Linked DNA regions of Astyanax mexicanus. The protein of the gene in region 1 binds, or shares a complex with, the protein of each later gene. Links are inferred from orthologs where the notes say so. Each region holds a gene or a part of one and is shown on either strand. Other genes may lie near its edges.

Evidence for each region. Proteins that work in one complex are often made in the same cells at the same time.
Region 2: the proteins of klb (region 1) and fgf19 are in contact, whole or in part, in a crystal structure (PDB 6NFJ), measured with the Homo sapiens proteins. The link is inferred for Astyanax mexicanus from reciprocal best matches to the Homo sapiens genes KLB and FGF19. Residues at the interface, in NP_783864.1 of Homo sapiens: Phe379, Lys380, Val392, Leu394, Trp419, Phe420, Thr421, Asp422, Val425, Thr431, Tyr434, Met435, Asn438, Tyr643, Glu693, Arg696, His743, Asn824, Phe826, Met832, Gln848, Phe849, Leu850, Gln851, Ile853, Leu862, Phe931, Phe942; in NP_005108.1 of Homo sapiens: Leu192, Thr194, Asp195, Ser196, Met197, Pro199, Phe200, Leu202, Val203, Thr204, Ser211, Pro212, Ser213.

The regions. Positions count from the first base shown.
Region 1 is NC_064426.1:1,309,792-1,317,468, reverse strand, and holds the start of klb (beta-klotho), read left to right. Parts: upstream 1-4,597; 5' UTR 4,598-4,794; coding exon 4,795-5,547; intron 5,548-7,135; coding exon 7,136-7,640; intron 7,641-7,677.
Region 2 is NC_064423.1:33,837,455-33,844,670, forward strand, and holds the start of fgf19 (fibroblast growth factor 19), read left to right. Parts: upstream 1-4,136; 5' UTR 4,137-4,287; coding exon 4,288-4,501; intron 4,502-6,687; coding exon 6,688-6,791; intron 6,792-7,216. UniProt on the Homo sapiens protein: Involved in the suppression of bile acid biosynthesis through down-regulation of CYP7A1 expression, following positive regulation of the JNK and ERK1/2 cascades. Stimulates glucose uptake in adipocytes. Activity requires the presence of KLB and FGFR4.

The sequences.
Region 1 (7,677 bases):
CTCACTGATCACCAGCTCCACTCACTGATCACCAGCTCCACACTCACTGATCACCAGCTCCACTCACTGATCACCAGCTCCACTCACTGATCACCAGCTCCACACTCACTGATCTCCAGCTCCACACTCACTGATCACCAGCTCCACTCACTGATCACCAGCTCCACTCACTGATCACCAGCTCCACACTCACTGATCACCAGCTCCACACTCACTGATCACCAGCTCCACTCACTGATCACCAGCTCCACTCACTGATCACCATCCCACACTCACTGATCACCAGCTCCACTCACTGATCACCAGCTCCACACTCACTGATCACCAGCTCCACTCACTGATCACCAGCTCCACTCACTGATCACCAGCTCCACACTCACTGATCTCCAGCTCCACACTCACTGATCACCAGCTCCGCACTCACTGATCACCAGCTCCACTCACTGATCACCAGCTCCACACTCACTGATCACCAGCTCCACACTCACTGATCACCAGCTCCACTCACTGATCACCAGCTCCACTCACTGATCACCATCCCACACTCACTGATCACCATCCCACACTCACTGATCACCAGCTCCACTCACTGATCACCATCCCACACTCACTGATCACCAGCTCCACTCACTGATCACCAGCTCCACCAGAGAAACACATCAGCCGTAACAATCTACCAGTCACCTTTGGCAGCAAAAGCAATGGTAACTTGCTCTTACAGCCTACAATACTTATATTACACCAATGCGCGGCTAGGATAATGTAGCTTTGGACACCAGACACAAACACAAAAATGGTAAGTAAGAGAGAGGCCACACCCAAAATGCAAATATATGGTACAAGGAGCCTATAGGAAAGCTATATGTTCCAATACTGTAGAAAGAGCATTGACATGTTTAGTAAACTAAAAGTTGGTTGAAATCGCATTTATTTCATTGCCTCAATAAAAGCATTTTTTAATTTTCAGGTTAAAGTTCTCTGAACTCATTTTATTGAGTTATTCCAGCCGGTAAAGTTTATTCAATTTGATAATATTAGTTCTCCTGACTAAAATCACAATCAAAATCACTTTTTAGAGTGTACAGGTAATCCCGCAGGACAGATACACTAGAGGAGCTTGGGTAATATGTATGGGTGTTTATTGTACACACTATGATTAATATCACCATCTACTCTCTATAATATTCAGGGCATTAATAAATCCATTATCATTTAGCATAAAAGTCTATTCAACATACAACTTTTAAGTACATACTGTACATCCTTAAGAGTTAAATCAATTTAAAAACTGAGTTTTTAGTCAGTTTAGAGGGTTGATTGTCCTTTGCAAGCTTAAAATAACACTAAAAAATAGTTACTAATATTTCTTTTCATATTAATGTTTTTCAATTAAGTCAAGTCAATGGTTCAGTAATATACAGCACCTATGTTTGTGCAGTTACCTTTATTCTGTGTTCCTAGATCTATATACAGATTAAACAATTAAATAAAGTACTGTTGTGTGAACAAAACTCAACTTAAGTTGAATCAGTTTAACCGATTCAAGTTCTCATCTAGCTTTGACTCTGTTAAGTTGAATGAGCTTAAAATTCGATATATTCACAACTTAACTGACCCAAAGTAAAATGACGCTGACTAAAGTTGAGCCAGTAAATATATATTTTTCAGTCTCAGGTGAAGTGTAGGTGCTGAGGGCAGTGTGGCAGTGTGCCGTCTGTTTTTGATGATCAAAGCTTTAACAGAATAACAGATAAAGGAGATAAAAGGAGAGATAACAGCTTCTAAATCACATTTCCTTTTGTTCCTGCTGACGGCAATTTCCTGAAGCGCTGAGTCCTCCTTCCTCTGACGTCTGGAGCAGAAACTCAACCAAAACACCTTCATAAACCTCCAGCTCTGATTCAACAAATAACCAACGCTGATCCAATAAAACCCAGCCTGATCCGATTTATCAGGGCCAGGTGATTATTGAACACCGTTACTGAAGAATCTGGACCTAACAGTGTTTCTGAGCATCAGGGGCGGAGCTTAATTGGATCAGACTGATGGTTGGATGAGCAGAACGCAACAGTGTAATCCATGTAATCCAGTATCTCCATTTTTTTAATTTTTAGTTTACCACATAATTTTGACACACAGACTGTCCCTCAGACTGTTTCAGGACTTCTCGATGAATGAATTGAAATTAACTCTTTTTACATTGACTTCCATTGAAAGTTAAGATATTTTTTTCTCTTTCCTGAGTTGCTGTTTTGGAGATACTTGTTTTTTATTGTATGACAATAGTGTTTAAATATGTACATGAATATGTATATTAGAATACTGTGTTAACTTTTTATTTATTTATAATTTTTTTAATTTCACTTTTTATTTTTTGTTGACAATTTTTGCATCTTAAATTCAGTGTTTTTCCATTATTTAAAAAAAAAAGTTCTGCATTGTAGATTAATACTAAACACATCTAAATGATGTAGAAAAACACATGGAATTATTATTTAGTAAACAAAAAGGTGTTAAACAAATCAGAATATGTTTTATATTTTACATTCTTCAAAGTACATCAGTTTTACACATCTCTGCTGAATTATCTCAGTCAGCTTTATGAGGTAGAATCAGCCAGACAAGGACAGGAAAGTGGAAACACGTGAGATGTGTAACAAGGGGGCGGAGCTACAAACAAAAAAGGTGACCAACAGTGGCGGAGACACAGGATGTAAATCTTTAGCTGACACTATAGGATTCTTCTTCACCTCATTGATGATTCTGCACTGTGCTCTTACAGTCATCTTTACAGGACTTTACCACGCCTAGGGAAAGTAGCGGCAACAGTGCTGAAATTTCTCCATTTGTAGAGCGCCTGTCTGTCTTGCCGTGGACACGTGAACATCAAGGCTTTTAGAGATACTTTTGTAACCCTTTCCAGCTTCATGATTTAAGTCAACAATTCTTGAACGTAGGTCTGCATTTAATGACCAATTTATGCAGAAATCCAAGTTTAATCCCAAAGGATTTACATATTTTTTATTGCAACTGTATTTAAAATCAGTTAATGCTTCGACACAAAGACACATTATGTTAATATTACTATAACAATAGACTCGTATGTGTAAATGGGTTTTTCTGATACTCTTATCATTTCTGTTCCGTTTGTGTTATTAGCACGGGTTAAACAGTCCCGCATTGTGATGTGGCTCAGTTATCATTCAGTAAACAGGATAAAACCCATACTCTGCTCTCACTCAGATGTTTGGTAAATGTTTACCGTGCTCGGTGGTTTCTAAGGATTCTAAAGCAGAACAAAAACTTTCATTTGATCAGCGACTTTTAAATAAAACACTGGAAACCAGCGTGAGATCAGGGTCAGATCACACTCAGCCTCCTCCTCTCAGACCCGTCTGAACCATTATCTTCATTTCTGTTTGAGTGGGAAATGAAACTCGTCTTATGTAAATAAAATTAAAATAAATATTAAACAGTGTGTGACCTAGTTTTTACACCACGCTGCTCATGTGGTTCACCACACTCCATCCACTGGAGCACAAATAAACAGATAAACAGGAAGGAAAAATTATGCCTGACTCTTCTACAAACTGATCTAACATTTGTTTATCCGATACAGACAATAATTCATAATTCCCACACAGACATTGAAACATCCAGGTCCTGAAAGCAACCCCAAACCAAGCCACTCTACCACCACCACCATGCTTTACAGATTGTATAAAGTGTGAGAAGCCCATGTCAGTAAAAAAGCTCCACTTTATCTCCAGACTTTATCTGTCTTTTTACCTGTCAATAAGCCATTAACTGCATTTCCATAAATCAAGCTAATAACTACTACTAATATATATATATATATATATATATATATACAGCTCTGAACAAGAAAATAAAAGACCCCTTCAGTTTCTGAATCAGTTTCTCAGATTTTGCTATTTACAGGTTTATATTTGAGTAAAATTGTTGTTTTATTCTATAAACTACAGACAACATTTCTCCCAAATTATAAACAAAAATATTCTCATTTAGAGCATTTATTTACAGAAAATAAGAAATTGATCAATATTTGGTGCAATAATCCTGGTTCTGGTTTTTAATCACAGTTATTTTTTTCATGCATCTCTGCATCATGTTCTCCTCCACCAGTCTTACACACTGCTTTTGGATAACTTTATGCAGCTTTACTCCTGGTGTAAAAATTCAAGCAGTTCAGTTTGGTGGTTTGATGGTTTGTGATCATCCATCTTCCTCTTGATTATATTCCAGAGGTTTTTAATTTGGTAAAATCAAAGAAACTCATCATTTTTAAGTGGTCTCTAATTTTTCTTTTCCAGAGCTGTATGTTTAACAATCAATTAGGTCTTTAAAGAATGATTAACATATCTCTCTCTCACTTTCTCTCTCTTGCTCTGTCACTCTCTCAGACGGATGGGAGGGGCAAGGGAAGAGAGGGAGAGATAGTGGTGGAGTGGTGAGGAGGATAAGAGTTCAGGTTAATCATTGATCAGGGGTCCTCCTTCCAGACATCACTCTCCATTCTGAGTAGCTGAATGTGTTTGTAAGTGAGTGAGCGAGGGAGGGAGGGAGGAAGAGAGAGAGAGAGAGAGAGAGAGAGAGAGGGAGTCAGTTAGTTGCGACAGGTGAAGAAATCAGATAGATGTCTTGTCTTCTGTATGGAATAGAGAATCTGTAGTCCCTCTCTTTGCTGCCTCGCCTGGTTTATAGGATGAATCCAGGTTCTGAACCAGCTTTTTATTCCTTCGCTCTACGTCTGATCGAGTGACCGAGTTAAAGATGACCCACTTCTTGTCTTGTCCTTCGTTCTTCTCTTTTCATCTTTCCCTCCTTCTCCTGACAGCTTGTCTATGGGATGGAGTTGAGAGTTTGTCGGGAGACGGGAAGAGTGTCTGGTTAAAGCCGTTGAACCACAGCGACTTTCTGTCGGGGACTTTTCCAAATGGGTTTCTATGGGGCGTTGGGACGTCTGCGTTCCAGACGGAAGGTTCTTGGGATCTGGACGGGAAAGGAGCGTCAGTTTGGGACAATTTTACTCGTAATCGTATCCAAGGAATGGGGTCTAACACTCGAGCGGACACTGCCAGCGACAGCTACGCCCTCTGGGAGCAGGACGTAGAGGCGGCGCAGTACCTCGGCGTCAACTTCTACGCTTTTTCGCTGTCTTGGCCGAGACTCTTTCCAGACGGTGATGCTACTGGAAAGGCAAACTCTAAGGCAGTGCAACACTATCGCCGGTTGATCCACAGGATAAGGGTGCAAGGTCTTGAGCCGGTAGTCACCCTGTTCCACTGGGATTCGCCCCAAAGCCTGCAGGAGCAGTTTGGCGGCTGGAAGAACCGGAAGATGGTCGAGAAGTTTGCAGACTACGCCGCATTCTGCTTCACCACGTTTGGACGAGCTGTGCGATACTGGATCACGATGCACAACCCAGCTCTGGTTGCGCTTCTCGGTTACGGGACAGGGGCTCACGCGCCGGGGGTGATCGGCGACCCAGCCGACCGCTTCATTGTAGCCCATAACCTCATCAGGGTGAGTGCGGGGCCGGGAGGTCAGAGGTGACGCTGGGGTTCATTTTTTTGGTGAAGTGTTTTTGAAGGAGCCTGTTGAGAATAATGGTGGTTAACTTTTCTAATGGTGTTCATTGACCTGCCTTGTTGAGATAACAATGCTCCAGGCCCATTCTCTGCTGGTGAACTTTGAACAGCACTTTATGGGCGCCTACCTGAGTCCTCAGTGTGTTTTTTTTTTTTTTTTGTCGGTGAACATCAATATAACATCAATATAATGTGTCTTTTGTGTCACAGGCAACTCTGTCTAACAATACAATTTTTCCCCAAGATTTAACACATATATAATATATAATATACAGTTCTTTATGAATATGAACTTGTTTTCTTTGCATTATTTGAGGTCTGAAAGCTCTGCATCTTTTTTTGTTATTTCAGCCATTTCTCATTTTCTGTAAATAAATGCTCTAAATGAGAATATTTTTATTTGGAATTTGGGAGAAATGTTGTCTGTAGTTTATATAATAAAACAACAATGTTCATTTTACTCAAACATAAACCTATAAATAGCAAAATCAGAGAAACTGATTCAGAAACTGAAGAGCTCTCTTCATTTTGTCCAGAGCTGTGCACAACAGCACCTTATAATATGTTTTTGTAATACGGTTTTGTAATATTTAATATAAGATTACTTAATGAGTGTTGCAATGTAATAAATGTTCAAGTTTCACTCTGTATAAATATAACTATAGATATACATTTGTAAACTTTTGTTTATTTTGTAAACAATAGGAACTTAACAGATTTCCTATGAAATGCAAACAGCTGCAGACAGCTTAATCATTTTCCATGTTATCACAGGAAATAGTGAAATTTTAGTGATTTATTGCATAATAACAAACCTAAAGGGCAATCTCGGTCACAAAGCACCCAAACAACCAACCAGCCTTCTTATCATAAGATTAAACACCGTATACTGCACCTGAAACTCTGTTTACCACTGGGTCCCAGTGTAGAAAACATTATAATAATTATAATAATACTTAAGAAAAAATATATATTTTGCAATGTTTATATAAAAAGACAAAATAGAAATGTATTATATTTTTAAATATTGAAACAAACAAATACAATTACTTTAAAATTACACCCAGATTTCAGAGCTCAAACTTAATAGGTATTGCAAAGGCATCAGTGAATTTAAGCATCAGTAAAATAATTTAAAAGTTTTAATGTAGACAATATGGACACATTAAAAAATGAATTGTCTATATTTTCTTTTGAAATCATATAAATAGTTTAGTATACTGTACAATACAATGTAAAAGTGAAAAGTTTGAGAAAACTTAAAATTTCAATAAAACTTACTGCATTAGATCTTTGAGTTTTTTGAGGCAACTCAAACTTTTAAATTAAAGTTAGCAACTAGGAATTCGTGAATATTAAAAATCTGTATTTACTGTCAGTCATATAAGCTTGCGGCAATTTGTTTGGATCAAGTCAATATTTTTGTTCAGCTTTTATTTTTATTAAAAAATTCTTTAATATTGTTGATTTATTTTTCATCCTTGGTTTATTAATTAATGATTTTATATTTCTCATATCTCCAGGCTCACGCTGCAGCGTGGCACATATACGATAAGCAGTTCCGTGACCAGCAGAACGGTCAGATATCCATCACACTCGGCTCCCACTCGGTGAAACCCTTCACAGCCACGGCAGCCAATGTAGAGCTGTGCCAGAAGTCCATGGAGGCGGTGATTGGCTGGTTTGCAGAACCCATCCACGGTTCTGGGGACTATCCGAGGTCCATGAGGGTCCAGGAGCTGATCCCAGAGTTCACTCTGGAGGAGAAGCTGTGGGTTCGAGGAACCGCTGACTTCTTCTCGCTGGCGTTTGGACCGGACACGGCGCGGGGGGTCCGCAGTCAGGGGTCTCGCTTTGGTCAGAACATGACGCTGGACCTCAGGAAGGTTCTGGTGTGGGTTCAGAAGGAGTATGGAGATCCGCGGGTTCTGGTGGCGGAGGGCAGTTGGTTCAGTGATGCGTCTGAAGGGGTGGAGGACACGCTCGCTGTGTACAATATGAAAACCTTCATCAACCAGGTGTTTCAAGGTGAGTGCGTTTATGGAGGCAACCAATGACTGTACCA
Region 2 (7,216 bases), on another chromosome or scaffold:
GAGTACTTTAAAATGCATTACTGGAATTATTGTAATACAGCTCTGAAAAACAATTGAGACCAAACCACTTAAAATGTATGAGTTTCTTTGATTTTACCAAATTAGAAACCCCTGGAATATAATCAAGAGAAAGATAGATGATCAAAAGCCATCAAACCAAGTTGAACTGCTTAATTTTTTTTGCACCAGGAGTGGGATAAAGTTATCAAAAAGCAGTGTGTAAGACTGGTGGAGGGGAACATGCCAAGATGCATGAAAACTGTGATTAAAAACCAGGGTTATTCCACCAAATAGTGATTTCTAAACTCTTACAACTTTGTGAATATGAACTTGTTTTCTTTGCATTATTTGAGGTCTGAAAGCTCTGCATCTTTTTTGTTATTTGAGACATTTCTCATTTGCTGCAAATAAATGCTCTAAATTACAATATTTTTATTTGGAATTTGAGAGAAATGTTGTCCGTAGTTTATAAAATAAAACAAAAAAGTTCATTTTACTCAAATACATACCTATAAATAGCAAAATCAGAGAAACTGATTCAGAACCAGACAAAAAAATTACTTACAAAAATGATTTTAATTATTTTAGACAGACGTTGCGTGTATGGATGCATTTGCTCATCTGTGTCAGCAGCAATGGGTGCAAAGTAGCAGAACGTATTGATTAGAGGGAGTGTCCATAAACATTTGGACATATAGTGTCATTATCTGCAGTTTTGTGTTTTCCCAGCTGTAACACACCTGAATCAACTCAGGAAGTGGTTGATAATTATCTAATGCTGTGAGTCGTGTGTTAGAGCAGGTGCATCACTAAACTCTGTACTGTAGAGGGACGGGGCCTAATGACCACTGTTACAACCAGGACTGCCCCTCAGACACAGCGCAGGCCTTCTACTGCTGTCTACTGCTGTCATAGAGTGCCATCTACTGGCAGCTGGGAGACATGAGGGACTGTTTAACCACTTTATTCTGTTTTGTTCAGTAGCAGGTAGAGTATAGTGTATATGGGGTTAACAGGTGTCTGTGGATGAGAGGTACTACGTTGACTAAATAAATGAGAGCAAATATTGATAATAAAAACTTAAACCATGTTAATGGTTTACTTCGTAATCCAGGAATACTCTGCATGAGAGTGAGTATTCCTAAACAGAGAGGAATTTCATGAATGAGGAATATTTATTTATAAACAAGCTACTATGTACCCTTGTGCAAACAGAACACGGTGCACGACTATTCCCATTAGGCTCGACAATGAAAAAAAAAAGACATAATGTGCAAAGTAAACAGCAGTGTGGAAAGAAAGCTGTGTTATCTGTGCCGGATGACCCAGTCGCACAAGGCCTGCTGGGTAGATCTGTGCCAGATTTACTCCGGATCTACACTGGTTTGTACTTTAGCCCTGCAGAGGCCTGCTGTAATTTTCCCCGTCGCCACACAACTAGAAAACAACTATGTTTATATTTCTCATTATGTGTTGTTGTTTTTTTTGCTTTTTATAACATATATATTAATTGTAAGTATATCTAAATGCAAATTGTAAATACACAATTGTAGATGCAAAAATGTCAAATTGACCTGTGCAAACTGAACACTTTTTTCAGTGAATTTACTTATAATAATTTTTAATGCATTCACATACTTAAACAAAGAACAAGTATACACACATAAACAAATATGTTATATATATATGTTATAAACAGACAAAAAGAAGTTAAATATTTAGACATAGACAAATAGCAAGGAATTAAATACAGTGACATGCTACATGTCATGGAGCAAGAACTATTATTGTGTTCCATGACTTTTGCCCTCTCCAATATAAGCTAAAATAAAACTGACCTGTGGGATACGTGTGTGGGTCTCCTCCAAGGTGAAGTAAAAATACTTTGTTACATTACTTAAGTAAAAATGTTGGTTTTCTATACTTTACTGTCGTAATATTTTTCAGATATAATCACCCCACACACACTCACACTCCAGCAAGAACATAGCAGACGTATGTAGCCTAGTATGAAGATGATCCTGCAGAGACTCCAGACAAACTCCAGTCCAACTAAGCTTCTTTAATATATTTACATTCTACTAAAATACATTCACTTTCAATGAGCATATATGCAAACATATATGAAACAGGGAGGAGCCTAGTGCATCCCAAATTGTCAACATCAACATTTTAATATAACATTATAGTCATAATGGCTTTTAGAAAAAATGTGTTTTGGGGAGAGGGGGTAGTGCACTATAGGACTCTGTGGGCGTGTCCTAAGCTTTTGCCCTAATGGTATTTTTTTCCTGACATTACTTTTCCTTTTATGCTTTAAGTAGTTTTAAAACCAGTACTTTTACACTTTTACTTAAAGGGTAAAAAGCTTGAGGTGATACTTCAACTTCTACAGACGTATTTTAAACCCTAGTACCTATACTGCTATAATGATCAATTTACAGAAAGTTGTTCCATGACTTTTCAGTCTAGTTTTATTCTAGATTTAGACTAGCAGGAGTCTAGCAGGAGTGGAAATGCTAACTGGCTGAATTTAAAGTGGATCCTGTGATAAACTACCACAGAACTTCATACCAACTGTGAAGCATGGTGGTGGTAATGTGGCAGTCGTAAGACAAGCTATCTTTTGACCATTGAGAAAGTTATGAATTCTATATGATTAAAAGTGATCTTTCTGTGACAAAACAAGAAATTAAAATCTTAAACCTTATTTAATGTGGTATTACTGAAATGAACATTCATGGTTTTGGTTGAAGACACGTCAAATTTCATACAGTTCTTCAAGGAAGAGTGGAACAAAATTCCTCTGTGGTGTGGTAATTAACAATTTTTTTTTGCAGTTATTGAATATGGCAGCTAAGGAGAATGGGATTATCTTAAATAAATACAGGAAATAGCTCCTATCTATTTACTGATGGACAGTAAATACTGATGATCTTACATTCAGGAATTAAGATGTTTTTAAATGCATTTTCTTGGCACTGCAGATAGAAGAATACACTGTATGAACAAATGTATTGTGACATCCGTTCATTAGACAGACAGACAGACAGACAGATAGATAGATAGATAGATAGATAGATAGATAGATAGATAGATAGATAGATAGATAGATAGATAGATAGATAGATAGATAGATAGATAGATAGATAGTTACATATTTATACTAAGAAATAAAGAGATGCTACAAACATGACAGACAGGAAAGGTTTGATTTAAAACATTGATAAACTAATCTACACAGTACCAGTCAAGTTTGGACACGCTGTCAGTGGTTTTTTTATATCTTCTGCATTGTACAAAAATACTAAGTTTCCCAAACTATGAAGATAAATATATTACTTAGTAAACAAAAAAGTGTTAAATAAACCATACTATTTTATATTTTAGATTCTTTAAAATAACACATTTTGCTTAAATTACAGCTTTTGAGGTAGGGTCACCTGGAATGGCTTTCAGTTAACAGCTGTGCTGAACTCGTCAAGCGTTAATTACTTGAATTTCTTAAAAGCATCAGCTGTGTTGTGAAGAAGTATATTTGGTCAACTAAGTAAAGAAAAAAATGTCAATCAATCTGAAACAATAAGAGCTTTTAAAGTATCCCCAAGTGCAGTCGTAAAATCATCCAAAATGTTCTGATGAAACTGGCTCTCATCAGAACCGGCCCAGAAAAGGAAAAGCGAGAGTTACCTCTCTGTTGCAGCACAGGATAAGTTCATCAGCCTCAGAAACAGCAAGTTAACAGCACTGCAGATAAGAGCACCTAAATGCTTCACATTTTGTATTTTGTTATTTTTAACACTTCTAAAATTACTACATGATTCTTTTTGTGTTCATTTATAAATAAAGGAAAATAAACAAACAAAACAAAACAAAAAACATCGAATGAAAAGACATGTGTCCCAAGTTTTGACTGATACTGTCTCTCACAGCGCTGCAGACGGAGCACGCGAGCTGCAGAGCGGGCAGGTGCAGCGCGCGCGCCAGTAAAGGTGGAGTTTGAGCGCTGCGCAGTGTCGGGTGGGCTGGTCTGGGGGTCTGCAGTAGCGCATCCCGCCATCTGTTGGACATCTAGAGGGTGTGTTGTGGTCGGGTTCGCAGAACCGCCAAAAGGGGGAAAAGGCTTATCGATCCAGCTGATAAGAGCAGGGTTTAAAAAGGCCACATGCCACAGACTGCGCCAAAACAGCGCAACGTGCGGCACAAGCGCGCGACACGGACACTCACACGCGCATACACTCAAACACGCGGACACGGGGACAGGGGGACACGGGGAAGACCACCGACATGCTGGTGCTGATACTGATCGCCGTGTGCGGAATTAGCGCTCTGTTCAGCGCTCGCGCCGCCGGGATGCCGCTCTCGGACGCGGGGCCGCACGTGTCGGGGGACTGGGGGGAACCGGTCCGACTGCGGCATCTGTTCGCAGCCAGACCCGGACTGCACCTGCAGATCAGCGCAGACGGCAAGATAGGAGGATCCCACCTGCAGAGCATCCAGAGTGAGTATCACACCTGAGCTACAGAACCCTCAGCACAGGCAGGCAGGTAAAATAACATAAAGGATTTTTCTGAGTAAGAGGCCATCAAGGGCCACAATATTCATATAGGGGTCAACATTATTTCACCAGTCAACTGAACTGCTAACTGAAGCTTCCTATGAATCTTATCAGACACTTAATTTCTACATTTTCACCATTTTTGACCAACTAAATAATGAGGGCACTACAATGAACTACAGAAAAGCAGCTATACTGAAAAAGAGGATTGTACCTTGAACCAACTTAATATATTAGTTTTTCTAAATTTATATTTATGATTTAGTTAGAATCTAACATTATTAATTAAAATTAATAAAAATATTATTAAAATATTACACAAGGACCAAAAAAAAATGAATTCTCAGGCTTAATATTAAGTGTTTCACTTTTTACTTTGGAAAAAAAACTTATTTTCTATTACAAGAATATATTGTCTTTACCTTTGAAAAAACTAATTAAATCACTTAATTTATTTTTTTGATTCAGTACAAACTACAAACTAAATTTTCTAATTATACCTTCATATATTTTCTTTGAGGTTTAAATAAATTAAAAAAGCCTCAATACTCCAATCAAATCTTTGACCAAGCCCAACCATCAACGGAAGGTGGATGATTTTAAAGTCTTTTAGTATTTCATTTTTCACACAAAGACAGTGGAATTGTGTGATAATGAAAGTATAAGCACAGTAGTGCTCAGCAACAAAGAAAATCGCAGCTTGCTCTTACAGCCTACAACACTGAGACCAAGCAGTCAACTATCACATAAAGCTTACCTCGGGAGTTAAGAGAAGGGAGTCTGAGGAATACAATGCCACACTGATGGTACTTCCACAATCTGGCAAACATTTTAGTAGAAATGTAGAATAGAGTACTATTTGATTCAGTGTATTCTTGTCATATTAAAGTGAAAAAATGCACTGTAATATGGATTAGGAAACACTTGCAAAATTACGTGCACAGTTTATTTATCTAGCTACTTTATCTGGCAGAAATGCTGATACCTAGCTACCTCTGTCTCTGAATTTATACTTCTAACAATTACAACCAACCAGTGAAATAACTAAATAAACAAGAATTTGTCATTTAAAACATTAACTATCATATAACTGCCAGACAAAATCATTTAAATGTTTATTCTAACTTATGTTTATTAAACTTCTAAACCTGCATTTTTTATTTAAAAACGCATATAGCATTTTTAGTTTGTAATAAGCACAAAATTGCTTAACTATGAGTTGCCATTAAAATGTTACTTGAATGATTTCAAATACAGAAATCTGTATGTGTTTTTTTGGTGCATGGAGTGCAAGGGGGCAGAAAACACGAATCTGAAATTATTAAATAAGTATTATTATTATTATTATTATTATAATCAACAAAATAACACACTATTTTTGCAGAGGTCTGAAACATGCATTAAAAATCATACATTTATACCATATACAAGAAAACAGTACACATATATTCTCTGATGTATCGTTCAAAATCTTTATTTTAACCAGTTCACAATAACACTCCTGCTAATACCTATTTTCAAAAGGTCTTAGATGGCCTAACTGTTTAATAATTGGTAAAATCAGATAAAAGTTTGCCGTTAAACTAATTAACATGCGAAGCAAATTATTTTATTTGAGTTGAGTTGGAAGGACTACTGCCTCTATCACCTGGTCTAAACAATTGGTCAATAAGCTGGGTTATCCTGATTGATAGCTTGGTGAGGATGGACATGCTGACACCAGAGAAACCATCAAACCCAAACTAAATCATACCCTATGCTGGCTAAAATATTATCTTTAATCTAGGCCTGGGAGGTTATTTGAATTAATTGAATTACTGTTTTAATGTGATTTTTAAAATAAGATAATGGTCATTTGTAATGAAATGTAATAGAAACAATTTTATGAAAAAAGTTATGTAAGAACTAAAATACTCACAATAGTAACTGTCAGTCATATAATTGAAGAATATCAAGATTATTTGTTTTTAAAACATTACCCAGCCGTATTCCAACCATTTATACTATTATGACTAGCATGACTAGCTAGTATGTTCTAGTTTACGTGTTTAGGATCCACATTTGGCCCATTAGATTTTAGTAGATATTTTAATGACGTGATTCTAATTGAAACTAAACTCTTATTACAGGTCTGGTGGAGATTCGCAGTGTAGACACTGGCTATGTGGTTATCAAAGGAGTGGCCAGCTCCCGCTATCTCTGCATGGAGGCAAATGGGAAGCTGTATGGATCGGTGAGTAGCCCACCTATTATTAATAAACACAGTTCACACCTGCCAGTATTAATGCATCTGTAAACTGGCAGAATATTTATTATGCTAATTTACTGTAGGCTGCTGGGTCGTAACTCTAAACGCTAAACCCAGACTCAAGTAAAAGTACCGATGATAAAGTGACAGAGTGAGTCAAGTAACATTCTATACCAAATATATACACAAAACTTGGCAGAGGAATAAAAGTCATAAGCCAAAATACAGAAGAATTCATTAAGCATGATTTAGGCATGATTTCAGGAGTTTTTAGTAGTTAATACAGTGGTTCTTGATAAATTAATGACACCTGTTTTTTTATCTGGATAAATGGTTCTTCACAGTTTATACATTTGAAAGGGTTCTATACAGTATCAGAAATATTTCTGTGTATACTGTATACTGCACAG